Linked DNA regions of Tribolium castaneum. Each later gene encodes a partner of the first gene's protein in a complex. Links are inferred from orthologs where the notes say so. Each region holds a gene or a part of one and is shown in the gene's direction. Other genes may lie near its edges. The genes, in order: Xpd, Mms19, TfIIFalpha, TfIIA-L, Polr2J, Mat1 and Ciao1.

Region 1 (4,266 bases):
CGACTCGGAGAAACGTGTCCGAATATTGAAGAGTTGGACATTTCGAAAAATTTGCTAGTGTCTTGGGAGAGCGTTTTTGAGATTTGCCGCCAGTTGCCGAGGCTTTTTTGGCTGAATGTTAGTGAGAATTTGCTGGACTTGCCAACGATTAGTGAGAGTTTTCCAAACGTGACAACTCTGATTTGTGGGTGTATGGACTTGGACTGGGGGCACATTTGCCAACTTGGACGCATTTTCCCGTCAGTTGAAGAGTTCAGAGCTCCGAATAACAAAATCCGGGGGCTTAGCACACCTGAGGGGTTTTTCACCAAATTAAAGTTGCTCGATCTTGAAGGGAATAACATTGAGTTTTGGACGGAGGTCTGCAAATTGGGGGATTTACCGCACTTGGAGCAACTTATTCTGGAGAATATTGGGCTCCAGTTGATTGAGTTTGAGGGTGATTCCCCCAAAGTACAAGCTTTCAGAGCGATGAAAAAATTATGTGTTGTGAAAAACTTGATCCGTGAGGTAAGACTGAAACTTTGTTCGTTTCCGTTCATGAGAGGATTGATTTTAGTGGCGTTCTGTGGCTGAGTTAAATCGGCTTGAAAGTTTAGAAAATCTGCGATTTTCCAAAAACCCCATCACAGAATCGGAAGAACCTGACACTATCCATCAAATAATAATCGCAAAAATTGCCAACTTGAAAATTTTAAATGGGGTTGAGATTGAAGCCACTGAGAGACGGGGGGCTGAATACGACTACATGAAAAAGTACGGTCTTGAATGGTTGGACGCCAAGGGTACCAACAAAGAGGCTGATTTTCTCAAAACCCACAACAGATATTTGGAATTGATACAAAGTCTGTTTATATTTTTTTTGTTACGTTTTTACGGTTATTTTTGCAGAATATGGCGAGCTGGAAGAGAGTGAACTTGTCTCAAAACCGAAAATTATTAAAAATACGTTGGTCCAATTAAGTATAGTTTTTGAGGACTTTACGGTAGAAAAGAAAGTGCCTCTCACAATGACTGTGCAAAAACTTATAGTCCTCACACAGAAAATGTTCAGCTTGAGTGGAAGGCCCCACTTGATTTACGCCAGCAAGAGCGATCCAGAAATCGAGATTCTTCTAGAGGATGAAATGAAAGAAATCGGAGTTTACTCAATGCAAAATGGTGATAAAATTATCGTGAAAGACAAAGTGTGATTGATTTTGTGTTGTACAAAACCATTAATTTATTCAATAAAGTTTTTAATAAATATTTTCCAAATAAAAAGGTGTTTTCTTCTTGAATACTTGAATACATTACATAACCCTACTTATTATAGAATCTTTGAATAACTGATAGAATACGTGGTTCCAGCTCACAGGACTTAAATTTTTAGGCCCCCTTCTTCCTTACTAATCGATTAGCAGCAATAGAAACGTTCCTATTGTTAGAAAATATTACAAAAAATTGCATAACCGCACTTTTTTCCAAACATGCCATAACCTAAAAAAACTACCGGGTCAATGTAAACACCACGGTTTCACCCAGCACCATACAAAAAATGAAGTAAGAACCCGACTATTGGCACTTGAGTTGCCTCAAAACCGAAAATTTTAGACTAAACGTCGATGGCTTAATCGTGTACTTCCCCTATGACTACATCTACCCCGAGCAGTATGCCTACATGTGCGAGCTCAAGCGGGCCCTGGACGCCAAAGTACGCTCCCCGCCTTTCACAGCCCCTTTTTTATGTTAATTTTAGGGCCACTGCCTTTTGGAAATGCCCTCAGGGACGGGTAAGACCACCACCATTCTCTCCCTCGTTGTTGCATACATGCTCGAGCACCCCCATGACGTCCGCAAGTTGATCTACTGCTCTCGTACTGTCCCCGAAATCGAGAAAGTTATGGAAGAATTGAAAAAACTGCTCGAGTATTATGAGAAGTTGGACGGGGAGTACCCCCATCTCCTGGGGCTGGTTTTGTCCTCACGGAAGAATCTATGTATTCACCCGGAAGTAGGTGATTTGGGGGTGCATAACCGGGCTTGATTTTGCAAATTTCAGGTGAGTACTGAGCGCGAGGGTAAGATTGTGGACGGAAAATGCCACGCACTAACGGCGAGTTACATAAGGGAGAGGCACAATTACGATGATACAACTCCCATTTGTCAGTATTACGAAGGTTTCGCTTTGGATGGCAAAGAAAGTACGATGCCGTTTGGGGTTTACAGTATAGATGATTTGAAACAGTACGGACGGGACCGCAACTGGTGCCCCTATTTCCTGTCTCGTTTTGTGGTACTTGAGGTCACACTTTACATTGCACTTCTGACCCTTTTTCCTAGATAAGTTACGCGAATATCGTAGTCTACAGTTACCACTATTTACTAGACCCCAAGATCGCCGAAGTCGTCTCCAAAGAGCTGACACGAGAGTCAGTTGTTATTTTCGATGAGGCTCACAATATCGATAATGTTTGCATCGACTCAATGAGTGTGAAAATCAACAAACGAATTATCGATCGAGCTTCCGCCAACATCCAGTTATTGGAACGTACTGTGGCCGAGTAAATCCCCGGAAGTTTAAGTTTTCTCTGGATTTTTTAAAATTTTTTAGGATGCGTGAAGACGATCACAAAAAATTGCAAGAAGAATATCAGAGATTAGTTGAGGGGCTGCGCGACGCTAGCGTGGCGCGAGACACTGACGTCATTTTGGCCAATCCGGTCTTGCCCGACGCCATCCTCCAGGGTAATACCCGAATTAGATTTATATATTCCGTGACGTTGAAATTAAGTTGGCAACACTGAGTGATATAGACACAGCTTAATGCGTTGACAAAAATGAAGAAATTTAGTGATTTTTAGCCAAAAAACTTTGTACTTAACAGCTTGAGAATTTAAAAAATAACACTGTTTTCAAAGTTTGATAATTTTTAACTTATTTTTAGCAAAATTTCACTCGAAAACGAGGTCATTCGAATGAAACAAACTCAATAGTATAATTTTCGATTTGTGTATAATTTTTAAACATGTTTAACAAAGTTAAAAAACTAAACAGATCTGACCTGACCTGACCTGACAATAAATAAATAAAATAGGTAGCATCAATTGCGATATATTTTCCTGGATTTTCATCCTTTTTTCAACGAATTTTTTTGGAGGAAAACCTTGTTTTTTTCTCATAAACCTGGTAAACACTCGGTAAAGCCAAATTTGGTTGACCTAATTCAGTCGAATATTTTTCAACGAAACAATCTTCAACGAAATAACTGTTTCTAAATAAAAACACATGAAAAAAGCAAAAAATAATGTCATTTTCGATTAAATAAGAATCTTTTTTCTGCTGAAATCTCTCAAAAGTAAACTTATTTGCTTATTTTTTGTCTTATTTTTGAGGGCATTATTCGAAATCATTGAACTTCAGGCTAAAACAACCATACAAAATGCTCGGAAAATGCAAAAATAATCGCATTTTCGATGATATTTTGTGATTTGTCCGCCTGGTTTAGTAATGCTTTGAGAAGAATTTTGTAGCTCAAAAATGCACTTAAATGCTAGACAGAGGCAAAAATATTGCCATTTCCGAATTAATTTTTTGGGCTGATTGTTATTTATTATGTCAGTAATTCGAAAAAAAATTAAATTGCGTAATTTATTAATTTTCAGAGGCCGTCCCTGGAAATATTCGCAACGCCGAGCACTTTGTCAGTTTCCTGAAACGTTTCCTCGAATACCTCAAAACTCGGCTGCGAGTCCAGCACGTGGTGCAAGAAAGCCCTGCTGGATTTTTAAAAGACGTCCAATCCAAAGTCTGTATTGAACGAAAACCGTTACGTTTCTGTGCTGAACGCTTGGCATCTCTGTTGAGAACTTTGGAAATATCAGACTTGACCGACTTCAGTCCGGTCATTTTAGTCACACATTTGGCCACTTTGGTGGCCACTTATACGAAAGGTTTTACGATAATCGTAGAACCGTTTGATGATAAGACACCGACGGTGTCAAACCCGATCTTACATTTCAGTTGTTTGGATTCGTCGATTGCCATAAAACCGGTTTTTGATCGGTTTCAAACCGTGGTTATAACCTCTGGAACCCTATCCCCTCTAGATATGTACCCCAAGATTTTGAACTTCCATCCTGTGATCATGTCTTCGTTCACTATGACGTTGGCCAGGCCTTGTTTGCTACCAATGGTAAGTCCAGAGGTTGGTGGAGTTCATCATTGACCATTGAATGTTAAGTTATTTAAATAAATTTGCACAAAATTTATAGTATATGTGCGGAA
Region 2 (4,194 bases), on another chromosome or scaffold:
TCCATGGCTTTCTGATCGCAACGTGGGACCTTGACCTTGAACTTGACATTATCAGTCATTGGTTCGATTTGATGAACGTTGAAGGGTGGATCCCCCGTGAACAAATCCTGGGTGTTGAAGCTATAGCGAAAATACCCGAAGAATTTATCGTCCAACGAAATACTAACGCAAATCCGCCGACTTTCTTCCTCACGTTGCAATACATTTTGCGTAAATATTACGATAAGTTGAGCGAGGGACGTTTGGCAACACTGGAACGGTTGTATCCAAGGTTACAGGCGTGGTTTGCATGGTTTAATACCACGCAAAAAGGGGCGGGGCCTGGCATGTACCGGTGGAGGGGGCGTGACGCAACAACCAATCGTGAGCTGAATCCGAAAACTTTAACTTCGGGCCTTGACGATTATCCACGAGCGTCACATCCGACCGAAGCCGAATACCACGTCGATCTATACTGTTGGATCGCCATAGCTAGTGATACTTTAGCAAGGTTGGCAACACTGTTGGACCGTGATGGGTATAAATACGAACAAACTGCCGATTATTTGAAAGACAATTTCCTATTGGATAATTTACATTGGTCTAATTACGCATCGCGTTACGCCGATTATGGTTACCACACTGATTCTGTTAAATTAAAACGACCGAAACCGTTACCAAGGTCACAAAACCAAAACATGGAGATGGTGCGTGTGACCTTGAAAAATCCCGAATACCGATTGGTCGACTCGACTTTCGGTTACGTCAGTTTGTTTCCGTTTTTGTTACAAATGATTGATTCGGATTCGTTGAAATTGGGCCAGATTTTGGATGACCTTCGAAATCCTGACTTGTTATGGACGAAGTTTGGTCTAAGATCACTGTCCAAAAATTCACCCCTGTATATGAAACGCAACACCGAACATGATCCGCCATATTGGAGGGGCCAAATTTGGATAAATATCAATTTTCTAGCAGTCCGGTCCTTGTATTTCTACGCCAATACGGAGGGGCCCTATCGGGATAAAGCCAACGCGATTTATAAAGATTTGCGGGAAAATGTGATTAAAAACGTGATGACGCAATATTTCAAAACGGGTTATCTGTGGGAACAGTATAATGACGAAACGGGGGAGGGGAGTGGCTGTAGGCCTTTTACGGGCTGGACGGCCCTGGTTGTATTACTTATGGGCGAGCAATACTGAGTCAATAAAAATCTAAGTACGGTCCTGTGTTTTATTTAAAAATTAAAAATAAAACCCGCGCTATACGGAAGTTTAAGGGTCGGTTTACAGAAGCGTCATTAACTTAATCTGCAATTAAATGCGTCATTAATTTAATCTGCAATTAAATGCGTAATTTTTTGAAATTTGAAAATGAAGGTTATAGTAGGTTATTTGGGGCATGCGTGGTCAATTATCATCTGTCAAAAAGTTTGGTTATGATGGCTTCGAATTTGGCCAAAAATTTCGAAAATGTTACAATAGATGACCAAGAATTTGCCGAAAAATGCCACGAATTGGCCCAAGGTACGTACAAGTGGCCCCACATTGTGACATAACCTCAACTTTCAGCACTTGAATCGGGTCAAGTGACCTTGTTACGCCTTGTCGAGGACCTAGGGGGGCTCCTTATCGATACGAGCCCCAAGGGGCGCGAGCTGGGCATGTGGGTGTTGACACGTGTCGTCGAGACTTTGCCCCCCGATGTTTTGGACGAAAATCAATTAAAATTTTTAAATCAGTTTTACACGGACCGGCTTAAGGACAATCATTTTGTATGTCAGTCCAGGGGCTACTGTTTTTTAACTGAGGGCGATTTTAGGTGTTACCGGCCGTTTTGCGCGGTTTTCTCGCCTTAATTCGGTGCGAGGGGGCCCCGAAAGGGGGCCCTGGCCCTTTTCTCGTCCAACTCTTCCACAATGTCTCGTGCCAACAACAACAAGAAAACGACAGATTAGCAATTTATCAAATTTTCGAGACTTGTTTGGAGAAATTTTGGCCAGGTTTGGGCCCCCTTTTAAAATTCAATATCAGTCTTTTTTCCAGAATTGGATGAAATGGGGCCCGACTTTGTCTACGGTGTTATTTCGGCGGTTGATGGCGAACGCAGCCCCAAAAACCTGATTTTTCTCTTTGATTGGTTTCCGAAATTTTTACGAAAAGTCAAATTGGGGCACCTGGCTGAGGACGCTTTCGAAATCCTGGCGTGTTATTTCCCTGTTGATTTTAGGGCTCCGCCACAGGACGAAAACGTGCCCACTTTGTCCCCATTAAACGACAATCAATAATAATTTTTTACAGGGCATAACTCGAAATACCCTCGCTGAAAAGCTCGCCTTTTGCCTCGTTGCCGTTCCACAATTTGCCGAATTCTCCCTTCAATTAGCGTTAGAAAAATTCGATTCTTCGCTTGAAATTGCTAAATTGGATTCGTTACGACTTATTGTAAGTGGTTTTTTTTGTAGCGGACCGCAGACTAAACACCAAACTTGTAGGAACTATCATTTGTTACTTTTGATATTTCACCAACCACAGTATGGCCACTCATACAAAAAGAACTGTTCCAAACGACAAATCCAGCAATTGAAAAAGCCTGTTTAACAACAATGACAGCTGTTATTAAGCACACACGTGACCCAAATTTGACAGAAACGGTCAAAGATATCTGCGATACAATCAAAGGAAATTTTTTACCCGACTCAAAATTATTCCAACCGTCGGCACGTTTGATAATCAGTGTTGCCAACGCATCGGACAGCGTTGCCAACCTCGTAGCGCGTGAAACCGTCCCCATATTAACAAACATGTATAATATAGCCAACACAACGGCTGAAAAAACACCATTTTTGCGCCTACTAACCGACTTGTATGCACTTGCCAGCGATTTAGAAAATCTCGGGGAAGTACCGGTTTTACTTGTAAAATCTGACTCACCAATCGCTTTTGATTGTTTACGTGACATTTCGCCGAAACTACCCGAAAAAATCCGACTTTTACTTTACCAAAACTACGTCAAGTTGTTACAAGTGCCACAAGAAGGCGCTGTCTTACAATGTCTTGAAGCTTTAGCACGGGATTACCCGAACGAAGTGGCTACGCACGTGGTCGGTAATACAGAAAACTATACTCCATGTTTTCTAGACGCCTTGTGTGTGACTTTGGCAAATCAAAAATTTTTCACGGCCCATTTAATCGATTTAATTTTGAAAAATTGTGCAATAAAAACATTACAAAAAGTTTTAATCAAATTTGACGATTGTGACGCGATTTTTGACGTTTTAAACGCACAAAATATCACCCATGTGTTGATCGAGATGGCTTTGACTGGTGATACGTGTCACGAAACGATTGCATTTGTTTTGAAAATTGTGATTGGTCGAATGTCGAGCGAAAAACAAAATGAAATGATTCGAAACGAATTAAGTCGAATTAAGATTGAGGATATTTTTTTACTAAGCGGGATCTTGACTTGTTTAAGGCGCGATGTTGTAATTAATTACGAAATTTTAAGCGAATTAATTGAATTTATAATTAGGGAGAGGGATAATTTGAGACGTAACGCAGCTATAGAACTGGTTGCAAATATTTTGAACAAATGTCCCAATGGTAATTTAATTCCGTGTTTTAATTAATTATTACAATTAATTGTAGATGATGTAATTAGGGAATTTTTGGAACGGGTTGACACTAAAACCGACCCCATTCTTACGTCATGGCTCACCAAGGCCTTAATTATGCGTAATCACGAATTAGGCACATTCTGGACCACAAAAGTAGGCAATTAATTGCGTTAGCTCAGTCGTTAATTAATTAATTTTCCGCCTTAGTTAATCGATTATTTGGATAAAGATGAAAGTATAGCTCCGTGTTTTCGCACAATTATGTCCAATTCGGAGTCTTTAAGTACCAAAAGTCATTGCAATGTTGCGTAAGTTGATAATTTAGCACTTAAATAATTTTAATTAAATAACTTGTAGATTTTTGTACCAGCAGAAGTTTTTTACGATAGTTACGAATAAATTAAGTGCGAATTACAGTCCAGACAAGAATTCGTATTTATCAGGCCTTGGATATTTACTAGAGTTCGCACCAAAACCGGCCGTTTTAGTCCAATTTAGAAAAGTAATAATTTCAAATTGAATTTAACCAATTAATTTAATTTTGTAGATTTCGAAATTAATTATTTCGTGTCTTGACCACACCACCAATCATG
Region 3 (4,461 bases), on another chromosome or scaffold:
AAAAATCGAGTTGCCTGCACAGTTAAAAAATATTATTTTTTCACTGTGAAACCGTGAAAAAATAATATTTTTTCACAGTGAAAAAACGTCAAACTTCGCGCATAGGTAACCATGCATAAATGTCACGATTTTTTGACGGCTGTAGAAAAAAATAGTTTTAACGTTGGCACAAAAGTCATTCGGAGGAATTTTAGTAAAAAAAGTTGGGTTCAGTGTTTAATTTATTTTGAAAAAATATCATTAATGTTAAATCCAAGATGAATATGTAGATACGAAAACATAGAAACAGGGTTAAATTCCGTCTCAGAAAACAGTTTTTGATGTAAATGTGACAAAAAGTTCGTAATTAACTCTGCAATTTCTAATTTTTAAGAAGAAAGTAACGAAAATGCAAAATAATCATGTGACAGACAATTAAATGATATGAAAGAATAAAAAAAGTGCCACAAGTAACGCAGTCAGTCTGCCATCGAATTTTGAACTTCTTGAGTAAAAATGGTGAACAAATCTAACTTTTCTTTTAATCAATGGCACAATTTTATTGTATGTTTGGAAGTTTTTTCGACTAAAAATGAAACTATTGAGTTAGAATTCTGTTTTTTTGCGATTATTTCAAAAACTGTAAGAGATAGATCTATGAGATGTTAATAAGAGTAATAAGTGTAGCTCTAATAAAATTTTCATGCACTTCAAAAAAATAATAGCTAATGTAATTTATATTTTCGATGATTAACAATTATTTCGATGATTAATTATTATTTTACAATTTTATCAACCTTATTAAAAAAAATTATTCGGTAAAATGCGACGTTGGTGTTTTTACAGTTTTGAAACAGCTAATACCTACTTATTTAGTGAAGTAATAAAAAGGAAATTGACAAAAATTATTAAATATAGAAAATATCTAATCAGTTTGAGTTTTGGGATTATTATTTTACACAAAACCTTAAAATGTTTACGATCTTAGTCATACCTACATTTCATCATGTATTTCCTGTGGATATTTTTTATAAAATAATAGAGCAATATCGGATTATCAATTTCATCCGAATTGCTTTAAAGTTTTTGGAAGTATTTTGTATTATTAAAATTATTTTTGGAATTTATGAAATTGCTGGAATTATTTGCGGACTTTTGGAATAATTTGTGAATGACTGGAGTTTTTTGGAATTATTCGAGATTATTTGAATTCCTTAGGACTATTTGTAATTTCAGGAATTACCCACTAGGGAATTATGAAAATTACAGGAATTAATTTGGAGTTTATACAAATTATTGATATTTCGAAGTTTTTGGTTGATTTTTTGAAATTACTAGAATTTCTGTCGATTTTTTTTGGAATTAAAGTTAGTTGTACATTTTTTTTTAAATTAAAAGCTTCCCGGTTTTTATGGAATTTTATATTGTAATAAATGTTTCTGTTTGTTAATAAAAATTAGAAAACAATAAAAAAAATACAACTGACTCCACGGTTTTTGTCACGTTAGAAAGTATCTGCCCTAAGTATGGCACCTGTGTTACCGACATGGTGACCTAACCTCTAAACGAACTTGTTTGACAGCTGTTTTCTAAATAGGTCTATTTTTTAATTTGAGTTTAATTTAACTAATAAATTTTGCAATTAATTGTAATTTGGTTAAAATGGCGACAAGTTCAGCCGCCTCTGTACGTATAAAATAACAGTTTTAAGTTTTCACAAATTAATTTTATTCTGTTCAAGCAGAAGCAATCACAGGCCCCAGCCGGTGTTAAGGAGTATACAATCAAAGTACCGAAAAACGTCCAGAAGCGATACCATGTAATGAGATTTAATGGAAATCTTGAAGTGGATTTTGCCAAGTGGACGCAGGTCAAAATGGAAAGGGAGAATAATTTGAAAGAGTACAAAAGCGTCGAAGAAGAACAACCAAAGTAATACATAACATAACGCACTTAAATGATCACTGATAACAGCCCAACAAATTGCATAATAAAAAGTATCTAAAATTTATTAACAAACGTCAAGATGTCATGTCATGTCAAGATTAACAAATGTCAAAGATACGTCAAATTCATGGTCGCCTTCGATAAACCCATTGTCCGAAAATTAGTATTGTTTTTATTATTTTTTTAATTTATTTATCTACGTTTAACCTAATTAGTTTTCAAATGAAACAAACAAAAAACTAATACACAAAAGTTGTCATTTTAGCAAAATCTTAAAAAAATTCATATCTTCGTTATTATAAAAGATACACATTTGAAACAAAGATATTATACTGACACTTTTTTACAGAGAATTTAATGTTATCAGCAGTTTATTTTAACTTTTAGTTTAGCTGCAATAACATAAAGTTTTATTTTTTTAAATAGGAATCATAGGCGGCTGTGATATTTTTGAAAATACTATTTTTCTCTGATTTGATATATCTATTTGTGTAACACATTATTTTTAAATATTTAAAAAAATATAACATTCCGCTTTTTCTTTATAGTAGGCTATGAAAAAATTTTGGATTTTCAATTGAAACTGTGAAAAATATATTGCCCAACAAGTATTTATGATTTATTGATTTTTAAACATTTTTTACAGAGAATTTAATAATGTTATTAACGTTTTTTTTAATCATTAGTTTAGCTGTAATAACCAGTGTGAGGAAATTTTATGGGCGAAGGTTAGTGCATGGGCGCGCGCTTGCAGTCAGATAAACCTTTAAATCGAAATGTTGTGGAACAGCTTACATTGTTGATATAAGTTAGGAAAGAGTATTAAAAAATGTTTAGACAAAGAATTTTTTGTTTCAACCCTCGCGAAGGGGCTGAAAAGACGTTTTAGCTAAAAATTTGCAAACACCTAAACTTGGACACATTTTGCGTTTACATACTCACATCTTCCTTCTGGATAAAGCTAGAAACTCCGTTTTTTTGCAAACAAATTTTCAATAAATGCAGATTTATACGTAGTTTAACAAGGTAGAGTTTTGATAAAGGGAAACCAAAAAAAAAATACATTTTCTTGTAACGTTGCATAATTGTGTAGTGAAATTTTCGAGATGCGAGAAAGTTTTTTAATTTAAAAGATAGACTCCCACATAATCGAGACGAAATAAAGCTAATACTTGAAATCAATTTTTGGTGCAAGAATCATTTCGTTATCTGTAAGACTCACCAAGTTATTGCAATTTAAAATTACTGCAAAATGCGCCTGAGGTGAAACCGAAGCGTATTTCCCTCTGAAGCGTGTTCATCGCCTTTGACAACATTTCGAGAGCTAAAAATCGTAATTCGTAAATAATTAAAAAATAATTAATGTCACTTATCTATTAATATTATACCTTTACTTTTAACCGCCCTAACTCTCAGTTAATTTTAATAATATCTAAAAAGTCAAAAGAACATTTTTATCTCATGTACTTATTTAAAAAGCATATAAGTGACCCAGTAAAACTAAATTGTAAAATTGTAATTCATTTCAAAGTATTCTTTGGTGTGACATTAATATTTTTTTAATTATTTACCATTTTTAGCCCTTGAAATGTTTTCAACCACACCACGTTTCAAAGGGAAATACGCTGCGATTTCACCTCGAGCACATTTTGTAGATAACTAAATAATCCTTCTTTAAAGTCCTTTTTAAAAAAATATACAAATCGTAACGTTTCTGACGAATCAACAATTGTAGTTACACGCTGTGGTACTTGGTTAGAAGCAAATTTCTAAAAATTTTAATCAATTAAAATCATTTGTTTATTGCTTTAAACGACGATGCACAAAGCATTAAATAATGTAAAACTTTAGTTTTAACCACAAATTTAGTTTCTCAACTTAATTTTATTGAAAATAATTTTTGAAATATTCCAACTACGATCAAATTTCTAGAAACGTAAAATTTTAAATTATCCATTACAGTTGAGAAATTTGAGTCTACGTTGATAGAGTTAAAATCTGTAGAATGGTCATTACAAGATAAATTTAATGCAAAAATTGACGCAGTTGTTACTAGAAATCCCGATTTTCTAGTTTTAAAACAAATAGCGAATAATGTACCACCTTCGACATATTTTGCATTAGCACCAAACTTTTTATTTACTCCTGTAACCAGTTGTGATGTAGAAAGATCTTTTTCGAAATTCAAAGATATTTTAACCGCAAAACGGAATCAGTTTTCGAGAATTTAGAAAGAATCACAGTTATTCAAGCGTATTTCTCAGAGAAAATGATTAAAATATTTTTAATTAGTTTTTAATTTTAATTTCCACTGAATTAAAACGAAACATTTTCAAAATGTAATAGTGACTTACGCTCCACTGTATTAAACATCTTTATTGGTGTCCATGTAAGATTGAGGAAATGATGAAGTTATTTTTTAACGATTATGTCAAATTAGGTGCCTTGTCAGGGTTTTGCTTCAGAAAATAATCTCAACAAATATACCGCAGTCTTAGCGACTATTTTATTTCCACAATTTTTTTGGGTACTCCG
Region 4 (3,753 bases), on another chromosome or scaffold:
CATTTTCTGTATTATACCAACTTTTCACGAGATTTAAAATTTTGAATTTTTTTGCTAAAATTTAATGAGTATTAACACTTGCCTTCAAGAAAGTGAAAAAAAAATTTTTTTAATGTGTTCTATCATAGTTTTTCGTACTTATATGTGCCTTTACAACCCTCTAGGGTTGTTAAAAGTTCAAAAAAAATCCTTATGTTCGATTTTTTAATATTTGATTTTTTCAATTTTCGTCGCAGTTTTTGTCGGTTTTGGGTACCCGGAACATTTCTCGAGCAATAGCTCCGGAACTATTAGAGATAACCCCATGAAGTGTATTATCGTTGGAAAGCTCTTTTAATTGTCTATCTTTTTCAAAAAAGATCTTTGCTCTCCGACTAATAGTTTTCGAGAAAATTGCAGATAAATGCAAAAATTGGTAAAATTTTAAAAAATTCGTAACCAAAAAACTAGTGGGAATTTGGCAATTTTCTCGACGCCAATCGATTCCCTGGATCATTTTGCATAGGTAAAGATCAAAACAGTTCCCCTTTTTCGAATAGTTTAGTCGTAATTGAGAATATAATAAAAATTAAAAATAAATTAAGACCTCCCTCCCCTCCAAAATGGCCATTTTTAAAAGTGTCTCAGAATCAAATAACACTTATCCTTTCTTATAGATTTTGATGTGCTCTTTACGATGGAAAAAAGAGTTTTTTCCTAGCTCTTTTAGTTTGGCCGTAATCGGCGATTGAAAATTATAAAACTTTTTGCGAGATATCGCTTTGAGTCCTATGCCATTTTGTAGAGTTTTTATTGCGCTTTTCTACAATTCTTCCGTTTTTAGATAACTCTAATAATTTCGCCGTAATCGGCAGTTGAAAATGGAAAAAAAGCGAAGATGGAAACTTTATTTGCGTTTTTCTCGGAAACTCTAAGACTTAGAGAATCAAACTAAAAAAACGGATGGCGCTTAAAATTATCTATTTTTTCGTCCAAACCCGGAGCTGCTCCGGGCAACGGTTCCGGTTACAGAGGCAATTAAAGTTTTACACTAAAAAAAATCATAACCCAAAAAGTAAAAGTCGTTGGGCAATGCGGTTTGTTTCATTTTCTTTGTTATACCAGCTTTTTTTACGAGATTAAAAATTTTGATTTTTTTTGCTAAATTCTGCTATATCGTAAATTAACTTAATTTTTGTATTTCGCGGTAAAATAATTCGGGCAGCCATTTTGTGCTTTAGTCAACCCACAATACACCACTTTTTTACTATTTTCTTATTGCTTAAATCTCTTTTTTGTACCCATAAAAACCCCACGACTCACTAATCACCATACGACTTTTTTGTCGTGGTAGTAATTTTTTGTGATAAGAATTGATAAAAACTCTTCATTCCGGCGCTTGCGCACTATCCCCGATCGCGTCCTGCCGTTACCCCAAAATTTTCCTCATCTCTCGCCTTCATTTTCCATCAAAATGTCGGCCATCTGATTTCCCTAACCTCAAAAGTGCATATGTGCGCGTAAAAATGCCATTATCGCCCGTTTCCACTCTCGGAAACCGTTCATAATCAGCTTAACGTAGTGTGGTGCGCCCCCAAGGCCATGTCGAACTCCCTGTGCAAGACTTCGGTGCTCCGCATCTACCAGGAGGTGATCGACGACGTGATCAGCGGCGTCCGCGAGATCTTCCTGGAGGACGGCGTCGACGAGCAGGTCCTCCAGGAGCTGAAGCAGACCTGGGAGACCAAGCTCAAGGCCAGCAAGGCGGTGCAGAGCGAGGAGGAGAAGGCGAAGAAGGCGGAGATGACCGCCACCAACGGCTTCCCCAAGCAGCATGTGGCGCAGCCGGCGGCAGCCCCCGTGGGGCAGATCGCCGAGACGAAGATGGTCCCCATCCAGATCACGCTCCCGGCGCAGCCCGGCAGCGACCAGGGCCCCAGGATACTCACGATACAGGTCCCCGCCACGGCGCTCCAGGGGAACCAGCTCCAGAAGGTGCTCACGGGGCAGATCATCACGGGGATGATGAATTTGCCCGCCAATATTGCGTCTTCGGTGCTCCAGCAGCACGTCAACGCGGTGTTTAACAGGTAGTCAGTTAGCCCCCTTTTAACTTAAATCGTCCACGCAAAATGTTTTCGGGTCACCCTGTACAAAGAAAAATACATGTTTTGTGCACACTTATGCAGATATTTTTGTCAATAATTGTTTTAAAAATTTTCTAATTATTGTTTAAAATTTTATCGGATTTTTAATAATGTTCTCTTCGGAATAAATAAAAAAGCTTGTAATAATTGTAGTTTTTTGTTATGAGATAACGTGTTTTTAACAGCCAGCAGCAGCAGATCGTGACCATTGTCAACCGAAACATCGCCCAGACGGACGGAAGCCACGCCGAGGAGGAGGAGGAGGAACAAATCGAAATCGAGTTTATTTTGCCTAGGAAGAAGGTGCCCCAGGTGGACGGCCCCGTGGACACGTCCGACGACGATGAGGACGGGTCTGACGACGATAACGACGACGAGGATATCGATGACGATAAGGACGAAGAGGATCAAGAAATGGAGGAAGAAGGTGGTGAAGAAGAGCCCCTGAACTCCGAAGACGATGTGACTGATGACGACCCAACTGATTTGTTCGATACTGATAACATCGTTGTTTGTCAGTACGATAAAATCATAAGAAATAGGAATAAGTGGAAATTTTATTTGAAAGATGGGATAATGAACTTGAGTGGACAAGATTATGTCTTCCAAAAGGCTAACGGTGATGCGGAATGGTAATTAGTGTTTTTTAAGAAGTTTTGTTTTTTTTTTATTATTTTCAAGTCACTTGCACGCAAAACCCGTCACTTATTCAAGGGAACGTTGGGTTCCGACTTAAGTTATTGAACTTTTGTATGTAAAATGGGAGAATAGCCTGAGTTGTAGAATTGTGTTATCCATTATAAATGTAACTAATAATAGGCGTTTAGATTTAATCGAAATTTTTACTATGTATTATCAATTATCGATAGCCGTTTGTGAATAAAACTATTTTTGAAGTTACACCATTGGTCGTTTTTCTAACACCTGGAAGATGACAAAAATCGCAAATTAGCAGCTCTTTTGAAAAAAAATCATAACTCAAAAACTAAAAATCGTAGAGCAATGCCTATAATGGAAAATTATATTCAACAAAAAAATTCATAATTCGAAAACTAAAAGTCGTAGAGCAGTGCGGTTCGTTCCATTGGATTCAGCGCCTTTTTTTCTCTATTATACTAATTTTTCACGCAATTTAAAATTTTCAATTTTTTTGCTCAAATTTCCTGAGTTATACACTTACTTACCTTCAAAGAGGTGAAAAAAAATTTTTTTTAAACTAACTCCAGCAAATTTTTATGGACTTCTACATGTCTTAACAACTCACAAAAGTTGTTAAAAGTCCACAAAAAGTCCAAATGTTCGATTTTTTGATGTTTGATTTTTTCAATTTTCGTCGCAGTTTTTGTCGGTTTTGGGTACCCGGAACATTTCTCGAGCAATAGCTCCGGAACTATTAGAGATAACCCCATGAAGTGTATTATCGTTGGAAAGCTCTTTAAATTATCTATCTTTTTCAAAAAAGATTATTGTTCTCCGACTAATAGTTTTCGAGCAATTTGCTGCTAAATGCAAAAATTGGTAAAATTTTAAAAAATTCATAACTAAAAAACTATTGGGAATATGGCAATTTTCTCGATGCCAATCGATTCCCCGGATCATTTTGCATAGGGGTGGATCAAAACAGTTC
Region 5 (2,952 bases), on another chromosome or scaffold:
TTGTATACGAAATTATAGAAAAATTCTGAAAAAATTCACATACATAGAGAAAAAATAAAGTATTTAATACCAAACGCTGATTTCCGTGAGATTACTATTTGTATACACCTTGTACAATACGATTTTTTTAAATTTTGATCTAGTTACCATGAGTTTCGCCAGCAGAAACGAATTGCGTAAATATCTTCAGCATTGCTTTATCTGTCACTATGTCCAAAATGTTCAGCAAAGAACAAAAAAATTATGTTGGAATCCAGGTTGGAACCTTCTTCCGTAATGGACATCGGGTTAACGTAATAACGTTAACTGTCATGAATAACTAGATCAAAAGTTTAGTAAATCGCATGGTATTTGGATGAGCACTTTAAAAACAGGTCTCTTAAAATTGTGTGATACACACTGTATTTAATAAGGTACCCAACAATTTTTTTAAAAATTTGTAAGCGTAGATAACTTCAATGTTTTTTAAATGTAGGATCTATAATAAGTATAATATATAGTAGTAATAATACAATATTAATTATTAATAAAAAAAGTTAGTTGATATACCAAATAAGTGCTACTGTCAACAATTAATGAATAAATTATTTCATTTTAGCATAATATGCAAAAACAATAAAACTAAAAAACAGAAAATAAGAAAAAAGTCACAAAATAATAATCATACCAATTTATTCTAACAATTAGGCTAAAATTACCGAAAAGTAGTCGGTGTTGTCTTCTAAAAATAAAATAATTTGACGTTTTTAAATGTTTTGTTAGTTAAAAATAGCAAATTGTTTCATGTATGAAACTCGGAGCCAATGAATCAATTTCGGAAAAGCCCGAAATCAGCCAAAAACTTTAAATAAATCACTTGTCTCCAGGCTACCGTCCTAAAACATCGATTTCTTCCAAACTAATGACAGGAAGTTATGTATACATAACCTCAACCTCTAATGAAAAAACCATTTGACAAGCCACCGCCAACTTTATGAACATTTTTCTTTTTGTACAAAACCGGTAAAACTAAAAAATGATCGAGTTACTGAAACTGGAACAATATCCGCAATTTTAGGGCGTGTAAGTTAGAAAACCACAGCGACTAATGATAAGGAAAATTTACTCACACGACCATTCCGTATGCGCCTTCTCCAATGTATGATAAGTTCGTGTAACGGGGGCCCACCTCAAATACCTGACCCCTTACAACTTCTGCATTCGGATTTACACTTGATACACCTGTGGCTTCCGCCATTTTTAGCGAAACCTCCTAAACTACCTTCCTCGATGACAAACTCACGCACACTGAAGCCACAGACTGAAGCAGAGAGGAGCCGATCCCTAATATTTATCAGCTGATATCAGATCGTTATTATTCACACTTATTACCAATTTTTTCAAACTCCAACTAATTGTAGACTCGTTAGTAACGTTTTCACGTGGATTTTTCCAAATTTGAGGCTTTTTTGGTTTTTAAAACGAATTTATTCCCAGAAAAGATAGCCAAATAACGCGCCCCCTGGTGGACCAACTGAACACTAGTCGGGAAGCACCCTAATTTTATTTTCCATTATCGAACCCACAATAGGGCTACAATTTTCATTTTGGCGGCATTTGTAATACCCTATTAGACGTTCGATAAGTTTTTAAACAGAAAAATAAAAAATTCCGATATTTGGTTTTTGACAGATGACAGGACAGGTGACATAACCCACAAAAAAGTGACGCACTAATAAAAAGTTGTTAAAAATTAATAAGCGGTTTAAAAAGCTCAGTGAACAGTATTTCCATTCAGGATGAATGCGCCACCAACCTTCGAGTCATTTTTGCTCTATGATGGAGAGAAAAAGTGAGTGGGCAAATTCTCTGGACCAAAAATTTATTTTTACAAATTGTGTTTTTAGGATAATAAGGGAACAAGACACAAAAGTGCCAAACGCGGCTATTTTTACCATAAACAAAGAAGACCACACGTTGGGAAACATGATCAGAAAGTGTGTAACAAAACATTAAGGTTTAGGTTGAATTATTTTTGATTTTTTAGCCAATTGTTAAAAGATCCGAACGTTTTGTTTGCTGGATACAAGGTGCCTCATCCACTTGAGCATAAATTTGTGTTGAGAATTCAAACAACATCTGATTATTCGCCTCAAGAAGCTTTGATGAATTCTATCACAGATTTGATTTCAGAGTTGTCTTTGTTTGAAGAACGTTTTAAGGAAGCGATCAAGGAAAAGAAAGAAGGTTTAGATTAAGTATTTGAATTTATTCACTAATAATAAAGTTTATGCTTCGATAAATCAGTCTTTGTTATGTACCCAAAAATATGTCTTGCGTCCCAGCGTCAAAAGTTTAAAATGACTTGTTTATTTATGATGGTTAATAATTCGTTTTCAATTTTTATTCAAAATAAGCTATTTAAGATTTATTAAAAGGTGGCAAAGTCTGTGCTTTAAAGCACTTACGTAAATACAGTAAAACCTCAGTGATCCGTGTACACAGGCTGTCCGTTTTGCGAGCTCCACCATGAGTAATAAAATTTTATCGGTCTATTTAAAAATTAGCCTGTATATCGAAAGTGAGTTTTCAATTAAAAAAAAAACCTCAAAAATACTTTAAAACTTGGATGATTTTTGGCTAAATTTTGAAAATAATTCTGACTGCACCGTTATGTCATTTAGGTATTTAAGAACAATTTCATTTTTGTTTACCTTTCCAGAAATTTTTTCTGACTTAATTATAATTATAGTGGTTGAAGAAAGAAACGAGCATGTAACTGTTATTAACAGAAAAATATATTTTTATTTAATTCACAATCCTTTATTTACAATTAACCTCATCAACGGATAACTTACAAAACAACTAATTTGTGTCAAATAAATATTAACTAGAAATTTTTACAAGATATTTATTAATTTGCTAAATAAATTATTAATAACAGAATATGTTCTAAAATGTCTGATCCTCCTG
Region 6 (4,524 bases), on another chromosome or scaffold:
TAAGAATAGTATAATTATGTACCTACTTATTTGTTCAATCGTCTAGAAACGTAAATCAAAAAACTTACATATTGTCCCATTTCAGTTCATAGTGGAGTTTTGCAACAACTCATTTGCATTTTTTGTAATGAAATGGAGCACAAATTGAGAGTTTTTGGTGGGTTTTCTTGGCTCAAAAAATTTGTCGCTGGGATTTAGTTTAATATAGAAACTCTCAATTTGTGTTTTTTTATTTAAGTGACACAATTTCTTGTCTTTAGTAAATTAAAAATTTTGGTACACATGAACGTTAAAAGCAGAATACTTTACGAAAGATGATTTCATTTGATTTATTCCCAGGGAATATTAGATATAAATAGCTTTTGTTTTTGTTTTCTGACCTTCAATATCATATTTTTTTTCAAGCAGAACTTCTTAATAATTATTGTACTTGATATAAGCATTTTAATTCATCACAAAATATTGCAACAAGTCTGTTTACTTGAGTAAACTCCATATAATCTGTGCTTAAGCCTTAGGAGGGAAGAATAAATTAAAAAAAGATTTTTTTAATAAAATCATATAATTTTATTATATAATTATAAAAACTTACAGTTTCAAAAAAACTGTTATAGTGTTTTTATTTTTGTGTGCACAGTCAGTGTAAATAAAGCTTTTATAGTAATAATTTAAAACTGGGTTTCAAATTACAATTTTTCGCGCCTCATTTCCCGCAGCTTAAACGGTTGATCTACTGCCACGGAGCATTTGAACTATTATAAAAACTGCTGAAGGTTCAATTTATCAAGAAAAACATTGCTTAGGCTTCGTATTTGCTATTGTATTTGTTTTGATACTTATTTGCCTCAAATTCTGCTTATAAGCAATTTCAATTCGGAAATAAAATTAACTACACGCCCTCTGGTGATGACTTTTGAACTATGTCGAAAACAGTAAAGAAATTTTCGTAATGCCACATTTAACTGACATTTAATGAATTTGCGTGTATAGTGTTAATTACTTACAATAGAAAGAATTACTTTAAAAGTACGTGGTGGTAAATGCTAGCGTTGACTTTGGTTCTGTAGTTTTTCGTGGTATAAAGTGTTTATTGTTGGAACTTGAAAGTGGATAAAAAGTGAAAAATATTTAAATTTTGATTACAAAGTGTTATCAAGCAGTTGTTTAATTAAAGATTATAAGTAATGGATCACAGCGAACACAAAGTTTGGCTCAAGAAACCAATAAATTAGTGAAGTGTTATGAATTTTAGGTTAGAATTTTCCACTGAAAAAATCATGAAATGCTGCGGTAAATCTACAAAACTACAATAAAGATTAACAACTGCTGATACATTTAAACGTAAATTATGCCAAAAGGTAGGCTTTTCAATGTCTTTGTAATAATTTTCCAATAAAGAAAGTGAACCAAACAGTCATTCGTTATTCGTGTTTTCCTCGTCATCTCACATTTGTCAACATAAGTTTCTTGCATCAAAGATGCAATAATCATTCCGCATAGGCAATGTAATAATTGTGAAGCCCCAAAATTCGTACAACGCTCAAAATATCCGAATAAACATTTTCCCGCCATTTATGGTTACTGTTTTCGACCTAGCTCAGTGGCGCCCCCAACGGTAATTTTACTTCCGAATATTAAATAACGTGGTAACAGCAATGTGTGTGACAGCCGGCAAGTAAGGTTATGTGCTCCTGTTGATGTGCGAAAAAGTTGCCCCCTTTTCCTTGCACGATGGAGGACTTTACGTGCCCGCGATGCAAGACCTCAAAGTTCCAAAACCCATCACTCAAAATGATGGTAAACGTGTGCGGCCACGGGCTGTGCGAAAGCTGCGTGGACTTGCTGTTCCTCAAAGGCTCCGGGAGCTGTCCCGAGTGCCGCATTCCACTCCGGCGCAACAACTTCCGCGTCCAGTTATTCGAGGATGCCTCAGTTGAAAAAGAGGTGGATATTCGCAAACGCGTCTTGCGCGATTTCAACAAAAAAGAGGAGGATTTTAATTCGCTGGCTGAGTTCAACGATTATTTGGAGGAAGTCGAGACGATCATTTACAACCTGACGAATAACATCGACGTGGTTAACACGAACAAAAAGATTGAGCAATACAAACGCGACAATCGCGAACAAATAATGAAAAATAAAGGCAAACTGGGGAGAGAAGAGTACGAGCTGGAGGAACTCTTAGAGTTGGAGAAACAGCAGCAAGAGATGCGTAAGCAGGAGATAATTATTGAGGAAACTGAAAGTAAGAAGAAGAAGATTCGGGAGAAGGAAGCGCTAATTGATGAGTTGATGTTTTCGAGTGAAAATGCTAAAAACATTGTCGAAACGTTTGCCCAACAAGCCAAGGAGGCCAAAGAGGAGGAGGCTAAGGCGGCGCCTGCCAAAAAGACGCACTTTTCAACAGGGATTCAAATTGGGCGGCAGACACAAAGCTCATTTTTGCCTGTTCCCATCGAAGAGGGCCCCTTATTTGTTTATAAACCTTTGGTTTTGCAAACCGATGGCCCCAAATTGCCAACAGATGAAGAAATCGCCAGTATGGGGTACACGAACCATGTACGGGCAGAAAACGAGCAAGAGAGAGCTGGCGGTTTCAGGTCCAATATTGCGTGTGTTAGGGCTCTGCAAGATGCCTTCTCGGGGCTGTATCATGTAAGGAAAGCGCCGGTGCATTAATTTATTGACGTGTTGGAGAATAAAGATATTTTTTGTACATTAAAACATTTATTTTGTTAAAATAGAACACACAAATCTAAAATTTATAACTAGAAAGTGTGCCCGCGATAAATAGCACCGTTGATTACATCTAATTGTACTTGCGATAAACCTGTTAAACTAAGCAATCAATAAGGGGGCTATTTTGGTAAGTTTGAAATAAACCAAACGTTTGTTTAGTGTAAAAATATGAGTCAAGTCTATTACCGCCTAACTAAATATCATTAGTAACTCGCTTATTAGATGTAATTGACACTCTGTTAAATCAATTCTGCCTATTAAAACATCAAATGGCAGTGTTCATGGGAATTACATAATGTAAATATCATCTCACGTGATGTACTGAAAATTATTTCGGTTGAAATAATTTTATCGAGATCTCTAAATGAACAATCAGGCAATCTTATTTGTCTCAAAGAATCCATAAAACTATTCTAGCTACTAGTAGCCTAGAAAAATATAATTTATATAAAAATAAAATTGGTGTTTTTCACTCTCTATTTGGTAGACAATAACTTATATACAAAAAAAGCTTGAGTCATATTCATATAAGTCTGCCTCTCTTTATAGCTACATATTATATACAATATTTATAGAGCTTGACGGCTAAAATCAGACAAACAAGGGGTCAACGAAAATTCAATACGCACTAAGGGTGTGGTCACTGGAGTTTTGATTAGTGTAAAAAGGATTTTGATTGGGAAACTTCACTGGGAAAACGCCAAATGTCCCCCTGTTTATCTGTAGAAGAACACAAGACCGTGCAGATATGTCCTAACAGCGTAATTACGTTTAAATATCATAAAACCTTAGTGATGTGTACATAAAAATAAGCGTCTAGCGTGCGCGTTCACAGCATGCAGCATTTTTTCTTGTTCCTTTTCATGTAGCCGGTCTTTAGAGGCGGTCTTTCCGATAACTGGAATTTTCGCACAACGCGGACCAGTTCGTAGAAGGCATTATCCACATTCATCCTCATTTTGGCACTGCATTCAATGTACGGGATTTTTAATTGTCTGGCCAGCTGCTGCGCCTCCTCTTGCCAAACGACTCGCTGGTGCTCCAGATCCACCTAAACGGAACTGTTTACAAAGGACGGAAAATAGATTAGGGTCAAGGAATTACCTTGTTTCCCACCATCAGCATGGGGAACTCGTCGCGGTCCTTCACTCTAAGGATCTGTTTGTGGAATTTGTACACTTCCTCGAAGCTGGACCTTTCTGTTACTGAAAAGACGAGCAAGAAGCCTTCACCCGATCTCATGTATTGTTCCCGCATGGCGCTGAATTCCTCCTGACCGGCGGTGTCCAAAACTGCAATTTTGGCGGGTTAGCCTTGGGCTATTTTGGGGCTTGGGAGTAAACATTGGGGCGCTACTTACTGTCTAGTTTTGCGGGGATATCGTCGATGACACATTGTTTGGTGTAAGAGTCCTCAATGGTGGGGTCGTAGTCGGTAACGAAGTAGCTCTGGAATTTCGTTTTGAAACTTGTCACAAAAGTGTAGGATAAATTACAAGGTTAAACACACTTCACTCCATATAAAGGAAAATGTAATTAGGGACAATAACACCTGACGATTTTCATACGCTAGATTAATGAAACCAGCCCTTTTCAACAACGGAAAACATGCAAAATTGACGGTGTTTGCATAATTACCTGGATAAATTGCAAAGTTATTGCGGACTTTCCGACACCACCTCCACCCACAATAACCAATTTGTACGTCTGATAACTGTTGGGCCTGTCCGTTACCTTAGACATTTTAATTTCCTTTTTCAAATTAAAACTAATTTACGACGACTTT
Region 7 (3,448 bases), on another chromosome or scaffold:
CGCACAACTGCCTCGTGTCGATACTCATATCTGCGTTTTTATCCTTCTTTTTACAATTATTATTATTAAAGTTTAACTCTAACGCTAGAAATGCGCTATTTGTACTGAAACTCTTCTCGCTGCTGCAATCGGACGAAAGCGTCCGATTATTCTCGAGATTAAAATAATCGTTAGACTGAACGGTGTTTATCAACTCGGACAGATATTTGCAAAATAACTGTGACTCCAAAAACGGTTTGAGATAGTTTTTCTCCAACACTTGTTCGACGATTTTCAAGGGCAACTTGAAACAATCCAAGACAAGTCCGTTCTCCCCGCAAATATTTTGTTCGATTTCGAAGCGAACTTTATCGCCGAAACCCAACGGACAATGGGCTTGCAGCGAAAAATACTTATCGTAGAGCACAACAGCGTCATTTTGGGCCTCAATTGGGTCAAAAAACTCCTTTTGATTGGTCAAATGTTGCTGCAAGTTGGTGGCAGCGATCCAGAACTCCAACAAATTGCACGAATTCTCCTGTTCGAGAAACTCCATAAAGTAGAAAAGCGCCGTTTCGTTGTAGAGAATATCGTCAAGGGCCACTTGGCCACTCGTCAAAACATCGATCTGGTATTTGCAGAAATAATCGCTGGCTAAAAACGCCTCAAAATACTCCTTCTCCATGACTTCGGTAACGAAACTCTGAACGGGGTCCAAACAACTGGCGATTTTCTCCAAGTCACAAATGTTTTCAACGAGTTCGTTACGAACTGACTCGGGGCATTTAACATTGTGAGCGGACTCCTGAGCTATGTACTTTTTAAAAATCGCAACAGCGCCCTCAACTAGACTAGATTCACACGAATCACTCGAATTTTGGGTGTCACTGGAGTCGCAATCCGTACTTATCTCACACTTAAACGACTCAATGTCCCCCCAACAATTGATAAATTTGGCGGCGTTTCGCGCCTCCATAAACTGGGTAAAGTAGCCCAGAGCCCCCTTATCGCCCAAAACCTCGTCCAAGGTCCGACATAGCCGTGACCTCGTTGCCTCAAACTCATCTTTAAGACACAATAACCCCAATTTCTACAATTTCGTACTCACCGATATCGAGGTCCAGAGGGGGCGGCTTCGGGGGCCGGGGCCGCGGCGTCACCGCTGGGGCTGCGCATTTCGTGTCATTGCCGGCTTTGGAAACACTAATTAGGAAAACCCAAACATCAATTACGAAATTACGCACCTTTTGATTTCCTCCAAAACTGTAACATGGTTCATCGTAATGATGGGTTGTGGGGGCGGGGGCGAGTCCGATCAACCCAACAGTGCCAAGAGGCCCCAAAACACCCACAAAACCGATTGTTTTGATAAACAAAGTTGATTGTGATTCACGGCACAAAAAATGTAAACGTCAAATGAGGCTGGCCACACCGACGGCAAAAAAAAACAAAAATCGCACATTCAACCACGAAAAAAAAATTCAAAATTAAGCGAACAATTAATTTAGAAGAAACATAATTGATTTTGCACTTAAGTACGCAATTTTATTGGTAAATAATTGCAAAAAAACGCAATAATAATCATGCGTTGGCTGCATTGAATGACAGTGCGGCCAACTCAACGAAGCAAAAACGTAATAAAATCACCCATTTTTTCACGTTTTGTGGCATTGGTAAGCCCCTTAAGTACATTTGCCCCCTTTTGGCACGTCGTGCGTCCCCCGAGACCACTTTTTAACCACCCTGTCGTTGTTCGCGACCCTAACCCCAAAATGTCAAAGCTTGAGCCCCTTCAAACTTTATGCAAGCACACGGGGCGCGTTTGGGACGTGAGTTGGCACCCGAAGGGGCAAACGTTCGCCTCGTGTGGCGAAGACAAGACCATCCGAATCTGGTCGAAAGACTCGGACTCGAAGTGGTCGAATAAAGTAATTCTAACCGATGGCCACAAACGCACAATTCGGGAAATTGCGTGGTCCCCCTGTGGCAATTACCTCGCCTCGGCCTCCTTTGACACCACTACGTGCATTTGGGACAAGAAATCGGGCGAGTTCGAGTGCAATGCCACTCTTGAGGGGCACGAAAATGAGGTTAAGAGTGTTTCCTGGTCGAAGTCGGGGCGATTTTTGGCCACTTGTAGCCGTGACAAGTCGGTTTGGATTTGGGAGATTGCCGAGGAGGATGAGTATGATTGCGCGGCCGTGTTGAGTGCGCACACACAGGATGTGAAGAAAGTAGGTAGCAAGGGGGCGATTTTTGTTGTTATGGAGGTTGTTGCAGGTCGTGTGGCACCCACATGACGATATCCTCGCCTCGGCCTCCTACGACAACACGGTTAAGTTGTTCAAAGAGGACCAGTCAGACAACGACTGGGTTTGTTTTGCCACCTTACAGGGGCACGAGTCAACGGTTTGGAGCATAAGTTGGGACAAAACGGGGACAAGGATTGTGTCGTGTAGCGACGACGCCACGTTGAAAATCTGGCAAAAGGGCCAAAATACGGAGGAAACGTGGAAATGTGTGTGTACCATGTCGGGGTACCACAACAGAACCATCTATGACGTGTCTTGGAACCACTCAAGTGACTTGATCGCCACCGCTTGCGGTGACGACGCTATCAGAATTTTTAAAGAGGAGGAAGGGGGCGACTTAGAGGCCCCCACGTTTAGCCAAGTCACCTGCATTGAGAGGGCGCACGCCCAGGATGTCAACTGCGTCGCCTGGAACCCCCTTCTTAGTGATATTTTAGTGTCGTGCAGCGACGACGGGGAAATTAAATTGTGGAAATTTATCCCTGAATAAAATTGTTTGACGTTCCTTTGTTTTTCTTTGATGGATAGGCGGCTGTTTATGTCAATTGTTTACAATTGAACGTCACAGCCTACTGTCGCCCATCCATTGAGATTACTTTTTCGTTCCACAGATGTTAATAAGACGGTTGGCGGCCCTAAGTCGGATTAAAAATTACTACAGCACGGGCCCCCAAATGTCGGTCAAAGAAATCGTCAAAACTTTACAATCCTACGCCCCCTTGACCCTTGCCGAGAGCTGGGACAATGTGGGGCTCCTGGTGGACCCAATGACCGACAAACAGGTCAAAACAATTCTATTAACAAACGACCTCACTGAGGATGTGGTCAATGAAGCTAAAAACTTCCAAGCGGGGCTCATTATCTCCTATCACCCTAATATCTTTCAAGGCCTTAAAACAGTCTCTGACAAGTACGCCCCAAATTACACAGCCAATCAAAACTAATCGTTTTGTCACAGGACTTGGAAAGAACGAATCGTAATCCAATGTATTAGACATGAAATTGCGGTTTACTCGCCCCATACGAGCTGGGATTGTGTCGAAGGGGGCGTTAATGATTGGCTAGCCTCAGCGTTCGCTTTTAAAAACATTGCGCCAATCAAACCATTGGAAAATCCGAGACAAGGGGCGGGGCGCATCCTCACACTAGACACGCCC

What was found.
Region 2: Xpd (region 1) and Mms19 share a complex: the UniProt entries of both Homo sapiens proteins name them as parts of the MMXD complex. The link is inferred for Tribolium castaneum from reciprocal best matches to the Homo sapiens genes ERCC2 and MMS19.
Region 3: Xpd (region 1) and TfIIFalpha share a complex: the UniProt entries of both Homo sapiens proteins name them as parts of the TBP-based Pol II pre-initiation complex. The link is inferred for Tribolium castaneum from reciprocal best matches to the Homo sapiens genes ERCC2 and GTF2F1.
Region 4: Xpd (region 1) and TfIIA-L share a complex: the UniProt entries of both Homo sapiens proteins name them as parts of the TBP-based Pol II pre-initiation complex. The link is inferred for Tribolium castaneum from reciprocal best matches to the Homo sapiens genes ERCC2 and GTF2A1.
Region 5: Xpd (region 1) and Polr2J share a complex: the UniProt entries of both Homo sapiens proteins name them as parts of the TBP-based Pol II pre-initiation complex. The link is inferred for Tribolium castaneum from reciprocal best matches to the Homo sapiens genes ERCC2 and POLR2J.
Region 6: the proteins of Xpd (region 1) and Mat1 are in contact, whole or in part, in a crystal structure (PDB 6TUN), measured with the Homo sapiens proteins. The link is inferred for Tribolium castaneum from reciprocal best matches to the Homo sapiens genes ERCC2 and MNAT1. Residues at the interface, in NP_000391.1 of Homo sapiens: Lys274, Tyr285, Ala318, Val319, Pro320, Gly321, Ser322, Arg324, Thr325, Glu327, His328, Arg334, Arg335, Glu338, Gln363, Arg364, Val365, Cys366, Gln368, Lys370; in NP_002422.1 of Homo sapiens: Val68, Glu71, Val72, Arg75, Lys76, Leu79, Arg85, Glu86, Leu92, Tyr95, Asn96, Asp97, Leu99, Glu100, Glu103, Glu104, Phe107.
Region 7: Xpd (region 1) and Ciao1 share a complex: the UniProt entries of both Homo sapiens proteins name them as parts of the MMXD complex. The link is inferred for Tribolium castaneum from reciprocal best matches to the Homo sapiens genes ERCC2 and CIAO1.

Annotation. Positions count from the first base shown.
Region 1 is NC_087394.1:27,625,838-27,630,103, forward strand, and holds the start of Xpd (general transcription and DNA repair factor IIH helicase subunit XPD), read left to right. Parts: upstream 1-1,358; 5' UTR 1,359-1,537; coding exon 1,538-1,542; intron 1,543-1,593; coding exon 1,594-1,693; intron 1,694-1,738; coding exon 1,739-1,993; intron 1,994-2,041; coding exon 2,042-2,275; intron 2,276-2,322; coding exon 2,323-2,543; intron 2,544-2,593; coding exon 2,594-2,727; intron 2,728-3,644; coding exon 3,645-4,174; intron 4,175-4,266. Other genes in the region: Tbce (tubulin-specific chaperone E), read left to right, coding at 1-510, 560-845, 892-1,193. UniProt on the Homo sapiens protein: ATP-dependent 5'-3' DNA helicase. Component of the general transcription and DNA repair factor IIH (TFIIH) core complex, not absolutely essential for minimal transcription in vitro.
Region 2 is NC_087400.1:4,137,426-4,141,619, reverse strand, and holds the start of Mms19 (MMS19 nucleotide excision repair protein homolog), read left to right. Parts: upstream 1-1,351; 5' UTR 1,352-1,420; coding exon 1,421-1,508; intron 1,509-1,553; coding exon 1,554-1,756; intron 1,757-1,803; coding exon 1,804-1,984; intron 1,985-2,027; coding exon 2,028-2,233; intron 2,234-2,282; coding exon 2,283-2,426; intron 2,427-2,476; coding exon 2,477-3,587; intron 3,588-3,632; coding exon 3,633-3,754; intron 3,755-3,808; coding exon 3,809-3,909; intron 3,910-3,958; coding exon 3,959-4,103; intron 4,104-4,148; coding exon 4,149-4,194. Other genes in the region: GCS1 (mannosyl-oligosaccharide glucosidase), read left to right, coding at 1-1,184. UniProt on the Homo sapiens protein: Key component of the cytosolic iron-sulfur protein assembly (CIA) complex, a multiprotein complex that mediates the incorporation of iron-sulfur cluster into apoproteins specifically involved in DNA metabolism and genomic integrity.
Region 3 is NC_087400.1:9,147,078-9,151,538, forward strand, and holds the start of TfIIFalpha (general transcription factor IIF subunit 1), read left to right. Parts: upstream 1-1,511; 5' UTR 1,512-1,641; coding exon 1,642-1,665; intron 1,666-1,720; coding exon 1,721-1,911; intron 1,912-4,461. UniProt on the Homo sapiens protein: TFIIF is a general transcription initiation factor that binds to RNA polymerase II and helps to recruit it to the initiation complex in collaboration with TFIIB. It promotes transcription elongation.
Region 4 is NC_087395.1:25,200,802-25,204,554, reverse strand, and holds TfIIA-L (transcription initiation factor IIA subunit 1), read left to right. Parts: upstream 1-1,372; 5' UTR 1,373-1,581; coding exon 1,582-2,069; intron 2,070-2,311; coding exon 2,312-2,762; 3' UTR 2,763-3,026; downstream 3,027-3,753. UniProt on the Homo sapiens protein: TFIIA is a component of the transcription machinery of RNA polymerase II and plays an important role in transcriptional activation. TFIIA in a complex with TBP mediates transcriptional activity.
Region 5 is NC_087395.1:21,130,833-21,133,784, forward strand, and holds Polr2J (DNA-directed RNA polymerase II subunit RPB11), read left to right. Parts: upstream 1-1,535; 5' UTR 1,536-1,778; coding exon 1,779-1,831; intron 1,832-1,886; coding exon 1,887-1,976; intron 1,977-2,026; coding exon 2,027-2,237; 3' UTR 2,238-2,282; downstream 2,283-2,952. Other genes in the region: mitogen-activated protein kinase 1, read right to left, coding at 1,110-1,237; uncharacterized protein CLIP-190, read right to left, coding at 2,932-2,952. UniProt on the Homo sapiens protein: Core component of RNA polymerase II (Pol II), a DNA-dependent RNA polymerase which synthesizes mRNA precursors and many functional non-coding RNAs using the four ribonucleoside triphosphates as substrates.
Region 6 is NC_087396.1:14,732,170-14,736,693, forward strand, and holds the start of Mat1 (CDK-activating kinase assembly factor MAT1), read left to right. Parts: upstream 1-1,613; 5' UTR 1,614-1,731; coding exon 1,732-2,679; 3' UTR 2,680-3,568; coding exon of another isoform or gene 3,569-3,790; 3' UTR 3,791-3,843; coding exon of another isoform or gene 3,844-4,031; 3' UTR 4,032-4,099; coding exon of another isoform or gene 4,100-4,187; 3' UTR 4,188-4,376; coding exon of another isoform or gene 4,377-4,481; 3' UTR 4,482-4,524. Other genes in the region: Ras64B (ras-like protein 2), read right to left, coding at 3,569-3,790, 3,844-4,031, 4,100-4,187, 4,377-4,481.
Region 7 is NC_087395.1:25,661,293-25,664,740, reverse strand, and holds Ciao1 (probable cytosolic iron-sulfur protein assembly protein Ciao1), read left to right. Parts: upstream 1-1,434; 5' UTR 1,435-1,580; coding exon 1,581-2,213; intron 2,214-2,259; coding exon 2,260-2,781; 3' UTR 2,782-2,795; downstream 2,796-3,448. Other genes in the region: pkaap (A-kinase anchor protein 10, mitochondrial), read right to left, coding at 1-1,044, 1,088-1,171, 1,224-1,251. UniProt on the Homo sapiens protein: Key component of the cytosolic iron-sulfur protein assembly (CIA) complex, a multiprotein complex that mediates the incorporation of iron-sulfur cluster into extramitochondrial Fe/S proteins.